Linked DNA regions of Callithrix jacchus. The protein of the gene in region 1 purifies or fractionates together with the protein of each later gene. This does not show direct contact. Links are inferred from orthologs where the notes say so. Each region holds a gene or a part of one and is shown in the gene's direction. Other genes may lie near its edges.

Region 1 (3,646 bases):
AGGGATGGAAAAGAATTGGGGTTGGAGGAAAAGAGGGGTAAAGATTTATGACTGTCAAGACCGAAGAAATCAGCAGGAGAGAAACTACCAACAAGAGTAATTTCTGAGAATGCTGGGTGTGTTGACTCAGCCTGTAACCCCAACACTTTGGGAGGCCTAGGTAGGAGGGTCACTTGAGCCGAGGAATTTGAGACCAGCCTGGACGACATAGTGAGACCTTGACTCTACAAAGAAATATAAAAATTAGCCCAGCATGGTGGCACGTACCTGTGGTCCCAGCTACTCAGGAGGCAGGAGGATGACTTGAGCCTCAGAGTTTGAGATCAGACTGGACAACATAGTGAGGCCCTGTCTCAAAAAAAAAAGAAAGAAAATCATCCTTGGGCTAGTGAGCTGTCCCTTGGGGGCTGGTGTCTTCTCATGTTTGTCGAGAAGGTGAATCTGTTTAATGACACTTGAAGGCATTCGCTGACCCCAGATGGGGCCTGAAGGGGCTGCACTTGGCTGACAGGGCCACAGCCTGAAGCCCAGTTTTATTTTGGAACAGGCAATGCTTCTCTGCATGCATCGTGTGGCTTCACAGATGCTGGTACTCAGATATTCCCAAGCTGACCCTCAGACCTTTAGTTTTGTAATTTGAGAAAGTTGTAGAGGGCAGCATGGCTTTAGGAACTGTTGTCATCTACCTTAATCCTTATCGCATCATCTATACATTTTCAGAAGGCTTTATTTTAGTTGAGTTTCAGTTTTCTGAGGTTTTGTTGTTGTTTTCCTAGAGATGAGGTCTCTCTGTGTTGCCCAGGCTGGTCTCAAACTCCTGCTCTCAAGTGATCCTCCTGCCTTGGCCTCCCAAAGTTTTGGGATTCTAGGCTTGAGCCACCATGCCTGGTGTTTTTTATGTGAATAAAAGTATTGCTGTGGAAAGAGCCCCATGTGTGTGGTCAAGTTTGGTGAGCCTGCAGCTGCTGGCGTCCCAGAGCCCATCCTTGTCCCTTGAGTTCTCAGCCCTCAGTGGTTTGGCCCCTGGCCCTCATGGGATGTTGGGCCCCAGCTACAGAAGGTTGGTTGCCTGGTGCTTGGGAATGAATTCTTATGCCTGCAGTGGTTGTGGCATAGATGTACTCTAACCAGAGACCACTGGACTGTGAACCCTTGGGGGTGGGTCATGATGAGGGGAAGGTGCAAAATTTGGAAAAAGGAGTTCTCCAGTCCCTGCACGCACCCTCACAGTACGCGAAGAGTTTCCTCCAGGGACAGCTGAGGCTGTTAGAGTATTTTTACCCTCAAAGAAGGACCAGGAGGCCAGGCCTGGTGGCTCACACCTATAATCCCAGCACTTAGGGAGGCCGAGGTGGGCAGATCGCGAGGTCAAGAGATGAAGACCAGCCTGGCCACCATGGTGAAATCCCATCTCTCCTAAAATACAAAAAATTAGCCCAGCATGGTGCCACATGCCTGTGATCCCGGCTATTTGGGAGGCTAAGGCAGAATCGCTTAAAACCTGGGAGGTGAGGGTTGCAGTGAGCCAAGATCGAACCACTACACTCCAGCCTGATGACAGAGTGAAACTCCATCTCAAAAAAAAAGAACCAGGAGAAGTGCCCATCATCTAAACTGTGGGCAGCTGCAGAAGCCACTAAACAGACCCCCCCCACATACACAGTGGGAAGAGTGGAGGACACCAGCCAGCCTCTCAAGTCAGCTCCTCACAGAACAGGGTCCCACCCTCCACTACCATATTTAATTCTTCCCAGTTTAAAAACGTCATGGTTTTGACCCATGCAGTGTCTCGACCGTGAGCACCTCGTGGCCGCGCAGAGCGGGAAGGGGCCCAGCGGCCATGGTCAGCCTGCATCCAGGCCAAGCCCCATCCCCAGGACACCTGCACCAACCTTGGCCTGACACTGTGCTCTCTGTTCGCCAGGTTCTCCCCCATGGGTGTCGATCACATGAGCGGGCTCTCTGGCGTCAACGTGCCCGGAAACGCCTCTTCAGGCTGGTGCATTTTCATCTACAACCTGGGGCAGGACGCCGACGAGGGGATCCTCTGGCAGATGTTTGGGCCCTTTGGCGCCGTCACCAATGTGAAAGTGATCCGCGACTTCAACACCAACAAGTGCAAAGGGTTTGGCTTTGTGACCATGACAAACTATGAAGAAGCCGCGATGGCCATAGCCAGCCTGAATGGCTACCGCCTGGGGGACAAGATCTTACAGGTTTCCTTCAAAACCAACAAGTCCCACAAATAACTCGCTCATGCTTTTTTTTGTACGGAATAGATAATTAAGAGTGAAGGCGTTGAAACTTTTCTTGTTAGTGTACAACTCATTTTGCGCCAGTTTTCACAAGTGTTTGTCTTTGTCTGAATGAGAAGTGAGAAGGTTTTTATACTCTGGGATGCAACCGACATGTTCAAATGTTTGAAATCCCACAATGTTAGACCAATCTTAAGTTTCGTAAGTTATTTCCTTTAAGGTATCTATTAAACAGAAATCTAAGTAGAACTGCATTGACTAACCAGTCCCTCTGGATGGTGGTGAACCTGAAGCATGCTTTAACCTCTAAGACTGTCTAACACGCGTTTCATTCAGTGTCTCCACAGACCGGGTAGCAAAAAAAAAAAAAATCACCTTTTAGTTTTAGTTTTGAATCTAAAGATGTTAGACAGATGCTGAGTGTGCGTTTTCTCAACCGCTTCACCATTTTAAGCAATGTGTATGCTTTGGTTGACAGGAAGTTGCTTCTCCAAGCAGGTCCCGTTGCCACCTCCTGCTCACTCTGTCCCGGGCTCTGCCGAGTGGTCCTGGGAATGGCAGCGGGCCCGTCCAGTGTGGGCCACCACTGGGGCTGGGGCCACATGCCGGGCCAGGCCCTCCAGAGAAGGACACAAACGTGTTTTGTAAGCCCAGGCACCAATGGGAACGGACCAAAGAGTTTCAGGGAAACTCCAGTATATTCCAGAGTCAGATCTAAGCTCCAGGCACGCCTGAAGATGTGTTGCTACTCTGACGCCCCGAGTTTCTGTCCACACATTGCATGCATGGCGCCCCCCACATTGGATACTCTTGTTCACGACCATTTCTCCCATTTCTAAGAGCATTTAACATAGCTTGGAGGCGTAAGATGGCTCTGTATTTTAATAACACAGAAACATTTGAGCATTGTATTTCTCGCATCCCTTCTCGTGAGCGCTTAGACCTTTTTCTATTTTAGTCGGATTTTGTTTTGAAATTTTGCTTTTGTATGAACACTCAGCAGAAAAGTACTTACTTCTTGCCAGTTATCTATTAACCAAAACCTTTGATTTGTAGTTTTAAAGATTAACCCTCAAAGTTCTCTTCATAACTGCCTTGACATTTTGGGTTGTTCTGTTCTGTTAATTTTCTTTTGCTTTTTTGTGTTTTTTGTTTGTTTTTACTTTTGCATTTAAGACCATTAAATTTGATTTTGTTTTGCTCGAATTTTGTTTTGTTTTTTATTTTACCTTTTCTTTCTTTTTGGTTAGGGAAGGTGCAGACGGCCCAACATTCAGGGAGGAGTCATAAGATCTTAAGAAACCGATACTTGCCTCAAGCAAAAGCATTTCTGAATTTGTGACGCAGGAATGTGCAGTCACAGACTAGTGGCTTTTAAACCGGGAGCCCGG
Region 2 (4,336 bases), on another chromosome or scaffold:
CCTCACCTGCCCTCCCAGCACGCGTACCCCCGACAGAATTATCCTCCCTCCTGCAGAGTCCAGAGTAATAACCCAGTTTCCGCCCTGATCACGGGGACTCCAGAATTTCTGGGGGTCGACCCTCGCTTTTCCCCGTTCCCTAGGCGAGGGGGTTCCATAGTCTCCCGGCCGCGCTCTCCGCCACCCCTGGCGCCATCCCAGCCCCCGCCGCTAGAAACTCGTTGGCCTCGCTCGGCGCTCAGCCGTGGAGCCAGGGCTTGCGCGTGGACCGCGCGTCCCGCTCTCAGCCGCGTATCCGGGACTCCGAAACGCGCGGCTAGCCGCCCCCTCCCCCACCGCCCAGATGGGGTGCGACCGCCCACGTGTCGCCCCTAGCCCAGTCCGGTCCTTCCCTCGGGCTCCTGGAGTCAGAGGATCCGGAATGAGTTGGTCAAAGCCGAGGGAAGGGACCCGGGCGGATCCGCTTCCCCCTCCCCAGGAACGGAGGGAGGGGGGAGGGGCTGCCGCCCCCTCCCCTAAGCTCCCGCCCCTCTCTTCCCCGAGAACGGAGCGGAAATTACCCCCTCCCCCCGCGGGTCTGACCTGGGGACGTGGGCGGGGCTTAGCGCTTAGCCCCCCGCCCTCCGTCCCTCTCCCGCCTTCCCGCCGGGAACGGAGTCCTGCACCCCAAACAAAGTTAGGCGACCCGAACCTAGGGCCTTAGAGAGCTGCCGGAGGTGTCCGGGTGGTGCGGACGCTGGAAGCTCCACCTGTCTGCCCCGACTCAGGGAGGGAAAAGGGGACCATTCAAATCTCCACCCGGTCACTCCCTCCCTAAGACCTCCCCCTTCGGTTCGCTCGGGTTAGCTCCAGCTACCACCCCTCTTCCTTCTCTCCCACCGTCCCCCTCTCCTTGGGTCATCTCCGGCCAGTTCCGCGCGTTCCCCCTAGGACCCCGAAACGTTATCATTTAACAGCCGGACCCCGGGTGCGAACTACCCTTTCTCCCGTGGGGATCTCGAAACATGATTTCCTGCGGCTTCCTCGTTCTCAACTAGGATCCCCCGTGTTCCCAGCTACTCGGTCTCGCGCTTGCAGGGTCCCCCGGTCCTGCATCCCCGGAGGCGGGGGAGTTCCAAGGGGCTGGGGTGGGAAATTGGAGACCCCCCCCCATCTAAACATCTAGGGAAAAGGTGCCTTTCTTTTTAAATCACCAGCTCGTGCGACCCTCTCCTGAAGACCCCAGAGTCTTCGGCTTCTCTTTGTCTATCTCGGCCGTCCCTTGCTTGTCAGTCGCTAGCAGTTAACCGGGGTGGGGTGAGCAACTCCGCCCGGCAAAACGAATAAAAAATAATCGTACATTTTACCCTTTAAGACTTAGGAAATCTGGGCTGGACCATCCTCCCCCAGTTCGGGCAGGGGTAGGGGGATGGGTGGGGGCGGGGCGCTTCCCTAGAGGCCAGGTTCTTGCAAAGGGGGAAGGGGCGAGTAGAGCTTCGGGGACGCTGCCCCACCGTCCTAGTTTACCCCGGGGGTGAGTTGAGTTACCCACCCTCAGGCGCGAGATTATTGGGTTTGGCCGGAGGGCCCAGGGGCCCTGTGGCGTCGGGGGTCTTCCCCTACAGGGTGGGTGGGGGCTGTCACCACGTGGCTTCTCCTTTTTTTTTTTTTTTTTTCCGCTCCATTTTTTTTTCAAGTCGATTTTATTTAGAGGCGGCGCCGGGGCGGCCGCGGAGAAACGTGACACACCAGCCCTCTCGGAGGGGTTTCGGACCGAAGGGAAGGAGCCGCGCCGCGTCGTCCGTCTCCCTGCGCGCCGCTGGCACTTCTCCTGGACTCCCCGAACTCTCTCGCGACCTCTGCGCGCCCTCAGGCCGCCTTCCCCGCCCTGGGCTCCGGACAACTTCTGGGGTGGGGTGCAAAGAAAGTTTGCGGCTCCTGCCGCCGGCCTCTCCGCTTCTTGGCCTAGGAGGCTCGCCGCCCGCGCCCGCTCGTTCGGCCTTGCCCAGGACTGTGTCCTGCCCCGAGACCGCCACCATGAACAAGCTTTACATTGGCAACCTCAACGAGAGCGTGACCCCCGCAGACTTGGAGAAAGTATTTGCGGAGCACAAGATCTCCTACAGCGGCCAGTTCTTGGTCAAATCCGGCTACGCCTTCGTGGACTGCCCGGACGAGCACTGGGCGATGAAGGCCATCGAAACTTTCTCCGGTAAGAGCACAGCCATCTCCCGGAAAAGCCACAACGGGAGCCCCGAACAACGGAGACCCGCACCTTCCGGTTCCTCTCCCGCCAACTCCTCTTTTCCCGGGCCTGCGGGGCTTGGCCTCCGTACCCACCCTCGACCTACCCCCTTCGATGCCCCCTCCCTCGCTCTGTATCCCCCCCAACCCCCGCGCAGAAACATTCGGGATTTCCTCCCAGTCTAAGATAAGAAGCTCTGGCTTCCCCCATCCCTTCTCCCTACCGACGGGGCGGGAGCCCCCAATGGCAGTAGTGGGGGGTGAGTTTAGGGACATGAAGATGACCTCGGCTTGGCGTTATTTCCACGTCCAGCCCCTCCCTATCCGCCAGTGGACGGCCCCCCAGCTGGAAAACCCTGGCTCCCCTTCCTCAGTCTTAGGCCTTTCCAGGCGTAGAAGGGGTCCCCGCACCGCGGGCGATCTAGCCGCTTCGCGTGGGGAATGCAGCCCTCCAGTAGGACTTGCAAGGAAGGGGGTCCCGCCTCTCGCCCAGGGCCTGGGGCTTGAGCCATTTTGATTTGAAAGTGGGGCGTGAGCGGGGTGGCGCGGCGGCGGCGGCGGCGCCGGGTCGCCATGCTGCTTCCCGAGACGCCGAGGCTGGGCCGAGAGGCGCGCGCCGCGGCCGCGAGGGACCCTCCCCGCCCGGCCAGGCTCTGCTCCCCCAGGTCCACCCCTTCCCAAACCAGCCCCGACAGGTGACCTCTCCGCGGCCCGAAGCCTTTCTTCCTGGCAACAGAGAAAAATAAAGTTTAGTTCTACACAACGCCTCCGCCCCCCGCCCCACTTTCTGAGGAATGGGGAGCCCTTTCTCTCCAGGCTCCTTCTCCCCACATCTGGGAACTCTATAGGCAGCGCAGCCACCCAAATAGACTCGCACCTTTACCAAATCGGGCTTCCAGAGCGACCCACTCCACAAGCCTCAGTGATTACACAAAACAAAAATTTCAAAATGAATAATAACGAATTTATAGATTCCACCATTCGTAGAGCAGCCTTTTTCCCATCCTGCTATGGAAGCCACTGCTTGGATTCCTAGGAAGATCTCGAAATCCCAGTAACTCCTGAATTACCCTGGTGTCTTTCCCCTTCCTCTTCTCACCCCTAACCCCTGTTCACACTTATAGTAATTTTTTATTTTTTTATTTTTAGGGAAAGTAGAATTACAAGGAAAACGCCTAGAGATTGAACATTCGGTGCCCAAAAAACAAAGGTAGGAAAGAGCTCTTTTCTCGGGTTGGGGGGCGCGGGGGTGTACTGAGAGGCTGTGTTGAGGGGTCCATAGCGTCTCCAGTGGAAGAAACCCATTACTGGTCTTCCCACCCCCAACTCCGGATGTTGGGGGCAGGGAGGGAAGATTGGCCAAGATCTTGTAATGGGTGGTTTACAGCTTGTAAAAAAAAAAAAAAAAAAAAAAAGTTGGGGCTGGGGTGGCCTAAAAGATGTTAGTTGTAGAATTAAAGGGGAAAGAAAATAAATAGGGGAGAAACCTTGTGGAGTTTAAGCTGTGGGGCCGTTTTTTTGTGGGGAACCTTGAAATCTTTGAAGAGTTCAGACTCATGGCGATTTCTGCAACTTCGTAGCAGGCCTCATTTTCTGTTTTTCTCACTCTTTCCACACCATAATTCTTAAGTAGATTGCCCTTCTACTCCCTAATCGGAGTGGAATGAGTTTCCTGGCCCCCCAAAAATCCCCTTTTGCTTGTAGTTTATTTATATTTCTGTAACAGGCAAAGACTTTTATTTCCCATGGACCGCCCCCCCATCCCCAATCCCTCACATCTCACATCATCCTCCTCCTTGACTGGATTTTCCAAAGAATATGCCTTGGCTGTACTATCCTTTTCGAGCCCCCCTACCCCCACTCCTTCAGCCCATTGTTACAAGGGGACCATCTGGGGTGAGAGCTTTGTGTTGAGGCTGTGAGCTGGGGCTCTTTGGAGGGTCTAGAACTCCGTGGATGAATGGTGTGTGTGTGTGTGAACTCCGTGGATGAATGGGGTGTGTGTGTGTTAATGGGGTGTGTGTGTGTGTGTGTGTTCCAATACCCTATATCCTCTATCCTCTCTCTCCAGCAAAATGGGGTACCTCCATCATGTTTACTGAGAATTCATGGT
Region 3 (3,646 bases), on another chromosome or scaffold:
TGAGTTCTGGGTACCAGCAGCACTGCTGGGAACTTCTGTTAGGAATTTTGCCTTAAGCTGAAGTATTTAGCAAACATAATGCATCAAAAGTAACTTTAAAAAAAAATAAACCTAGGAAAAAAAGCAGTTAACTGCATTGTTCGATACTCTGAAGTTAAATGTTTACCATTCCAAGTTATCCTCTGTGAATAGAAAAGACTGTTTGTGGTTTTTGTCTTTTGACTTAAAGGCATAGCAAACTCGGTCCGTGTAATTATTGACATTTAACATTTATTGGTGCTTGTGGAGCAAGTGCCTCACTGAATCTGAAATACTGTAGATGCTAACATCATTTATAAGATAAAGAAAAAATGATATTCCATAAAAGGGGGCTAAACTGGAAAAAGGAAATAACATGTTATAAAACCCAAAGTAAATACACAAAAATAGAATAATCAAATATGTCATCACACAAAATTCCCAAGCTATCCAGTGGCCCCACACTCTTCTGTGAAGCCTGTATTTACAATGAGAGGGCTATTTTAAACCTGTACCCACTTCAAAGCACAGAAATGGGGGGCTTATAATTAAGAGTTGTGGTTATCTTGGCCTTTGACCTCTATGATAAGACCTGAGATCCAGGGAAATCAAACTCAAATTTGCATTGCTAAGTATGTGACAGAAGCATCTTGACCTATGTCATTTCTGGCTCCTGAGGGTTTTATTGGGATGGGCACTAATGCTACTGTTATTAATCAGATTCCCCATTTAAAATGTATCTTATTAATGGTATCAAATTGAATGTCAGAAGTTTTATAATAATCTTCAAGTCTGGGCCAAATTATTAGGTGACAGTGGCTGCCACCTCATCCTTGCCCTCCACAACTTGCCCATATTTCAAGCAGTGTGTCTAAAGGACACACTGGCAACATCCCATCCCCTTCCTTCTCCCACTCTCCCAGTCTGGGCTTCTCTCTACCACTTTCCCACAATCCATCAGTATTTACCGCAGCTTAGTGCTGCAAAGGAATTAAAGAGTAGAATTATAACACTTACCATGAAAATATGAGGAGTGGCAGGGCATATGATGGTCAAATATAGATAACAGATTGTAGCTTGAGTACCTTCTAAGTCTCATGTGTCACTTCCAGAGTGTGGGATGTAAATACAGGTGAAATGCTAAACACATTGATTCACCATTGTGAAGCAGTTCTGCACTTGCGTTTCAATAATGGCATGATGGTGACGTGCTCCAAAGATCGTTCCATTGCTGTATGGGATATGGCCTCCCCAACTGACATTACCCTCCGGAGGGTGCTGGTTGGACACCGAGCTGCTGTCAATGTTGTAGACTTTGATGACAAGTACATCGTTTCTGCATCTGGGGATAGAACTATAAAGGTAATCAGGTATCTTTCAGTAAGTCTCCAACTTAGAATAGGGGAATTCATATGAAAATGTGATCAAGGGCAATGTCATATTTAAACATCACTGAAGAAATATGTAGTATTTATTTCAGAGACTAGTCTACAAGTGAAAAGGTAATAAATGAGATGTGTGACAATATGAGCTAGGTATTTTATTCTTATAAATAATGGTGAGTGTGAGAAGGGCAGGGGCAAATGTAGGGTCAAGAAAAATGTATCTGCAAGATCAGACTAACCCTAGAAGAGAAAATCAGTTTGAGGAATTTTCTTGATAACAGCCAACAGCAAATTAGCCTCTATTACCATGAATTTAAATTGTCTTTTGCTCTGTTTGAGAATTTGACTTCCCTTTAATGGTTCAGTCTCATTTCCTGCTTCCCTAAGACTCCAGTTGCCATAGATTTTACCAGTAAAAGCACCAAATCAATTGCTCAATGCCGTTTTCTTTTTCAGGTATGGAACACAAGTACTTGTGAATTTGTGAGGACCTTAAATGGACACAAACGAGGCATTGCCTGTTTGCAATACAGGGACAGGCTGGTAGTGAGTGGCTCATCTGACAATACTATTAGGTGAGCAGCAAGTGCCTTTTATCGTAAATGATCAATATTATGCTCCCATTCATTATTAGTGCACAGATCAATCAAGTCTTCAGTTTTGTTATGTTTATAATCAACTGTTTTTCCTTTTTGTAGCTTCTTACAGGTCAGAAGCAGAGAGGCAGCAACAAAGCCTTTTGTTGCCCATCTTTTTTTTTTTTTTTTGAAATTGGAGTCTTGCACTGTTGCTCAGGCTGGAGTACAGTGGTGTGACTTGGTGCAATGTGTACTTGGCACATTGCAACCTTGGCCTCCCAGGTTCAAGTGATTTTACTGTTTCAGCCTCCTGAGTAGCTGGGATTACAGGCATGTGCCACCACGCCCGGCTAATTTTTGTATTTTTAGTAGAGATGGGATTTCACCATGTTGGTTAGGCTGGTCTCGAACTCCTGACCTCGTGATCTACTGGCCTCAGCCTCCTGAAGTGCTGGTGTGAACCATCATGCCCTGTCGTTGCCCTTCTTTTTAAATTTCTCCTGTCTACAGTTGCAAAATGCTATTAAGTTTTCTCTTTGTCATTGTTTGCCACTTAAGAAGTGAAAAGAAAGATATGTTTTCTTACTAGAAATTATGTAATTTTGGTCTTAGCATTACATAATTGGCCATAGAGTTACCTGTCCTTGAAATTATGAAGATTTCACAGTTGGAAGTCATTTTTTAATTTTCTCTTCACAAAGATGAATGACGTGGATATTAATAGAATTTGAAAGATCTATCCATCCTCTCTCTTCAGTGAAGTACTAAAAGGATGAAAAGGCCACTAAAAAAAAAAAACAGATAGAGCTACTGTTATATCTAAGGAAATTATTCCTAGAAATCACTTTAAAAAGTTCTGAAAAATAATTTCAGAATATACAGTTTTTAAAATTAGTACACAAAAGTTTTTGAGAACTGGCTTTGCATTTCCATTCTCTGAGAAAAACTGTCCTGGACAGTGGTGAAAGAAGTGTCCACTGTGGCAGAGGGAGAGGTGCTTTGTGAGAACAGGACATCACTGATAATCTGTATGGTGACTTCAGGAAACTACTTTCTTAGTTTGGTCATTTTCTTCTCAGGCAACTGTGTGCCTTGAATTCATCATTTTTATGCCTGGAAGAACCTGGTTACAGAATTATATAAAGCATTATACTTTGAAAATACATACTACATTTGAACTTAAACCTACATTTTTCTGCATGAGTTATATAGCAGAAAGGAAATAAATTACATTGAAAATGGTACTTTCTATGTGGGTGGTGATTGATTTTATTTTGTGAGTTTTTAGAAGGCATATGAAGTGTATTATTATAACACTCCAGACTTAGAATATGTGAAAAATCACTTGACTCACTTTTCTCTTCCAGATTATGGGACATAGAATGTGGTGCATGTTTACGAGTGTTAGAAGGCCATGAGGAATTAGTGCGTTGTATTCGATTTGATAACAAGAGGATAGTCAGTGGGGCCTATGATGGGTGAGTATAAAAAACAGTGTTAAAAAAAAAAGAAAATCTACCTCTTAATCCTTCCTTATGTTTATGGTGTTAAACATAACCATTCCTTGTTTCTAAAAGCTTATAGATTTTACACAAAGTATCTAATAGCATATTTTTTTAATCTGTATATTCACCTCTCCTTGCTTTAGTATCCTGAAATACTCTT

The links.
Region 2: the proteins of ELAVL1 (region 1) and IGF2BP1 purify together in Homo sapiens (co-immunoprecipitation; 3 studies listed by BioGRID and IntAct, with this or other methods). This does not show direct contact. The link is inferred for Callithrix jacchus from reciprocal best matches to the Homo sapiens genes ELAVL1 and IGF2BP1.
Region 3: the proteins of ELAVL1 (region 1) and BTRC purify together in Homo sapiens (affinity purification with western blotting; 4 studies listed by BioGRID, with this or other methods). This does not show direct contact. The link is inferred for Callithrix jacchus from reciprocal best matches to the Homo sapiens genes ELAVL1 and BTRC.

What each region holds. Positions count from the first base shown.
Region 1 is NC_133523.1:7,497,425-7,501,070, reverse strand, and holds the end of ELAVL1 (ELAV-like protein 1), read left to right. Parts: intron 1-1,924; coding exon 1,925-2,249; 3' UTR 2,250-3,461; downstream 3,462-3,646. UniProt on the Homo sapiens protein: RNA-binding protein that binds to the 3'-UTR region of mRNAs and increases their stability.
Region 2 is NC_133506.1:117,295,721-117,300,056, reverse strand, and holds the start of IGF2BP1 (insulin-like growth factor 2 mRNA-binding protein 1), read left to right. Parts: upstream 1-1,460; 5' UTR 1,461-2,016; coding exon 2,017-2,191; intron 2,192-3,372; coding exon 3,373-3,433; intron 3,434-4,336. UniProt on the Homo sapiens protein: RNA-binding factor that recruits target transcripts to cytoplasmic protein-RNA complexes (mRNPs). This transcript 'caging' into mRNPs allows mRNA transport and transient storage.
Region 3 is NC_133513.1:94,486,800-94,490,445, forward strand, and holds part of BTRC (F-box/WD repeat-containing protein 1A), read left to right. Parts: intron 1-1,130; coding exon 1,131-1,380; intron 1,381-1,859; coding exon 1,860-1,978; intron 1,979-3,348; coding exon 3,349-3,459; intron 3,460-3,646. UniProt on the Homo sapiens protein: Substrate recognition component of a SCF (SKP1-CUL1-F-box protein) E3 ubiquitin-protein ligase complex which mediates the ubiquitination and subsequent proteasomal degradation of target proteins. Recognizes and binds to phosphorylated target proteins.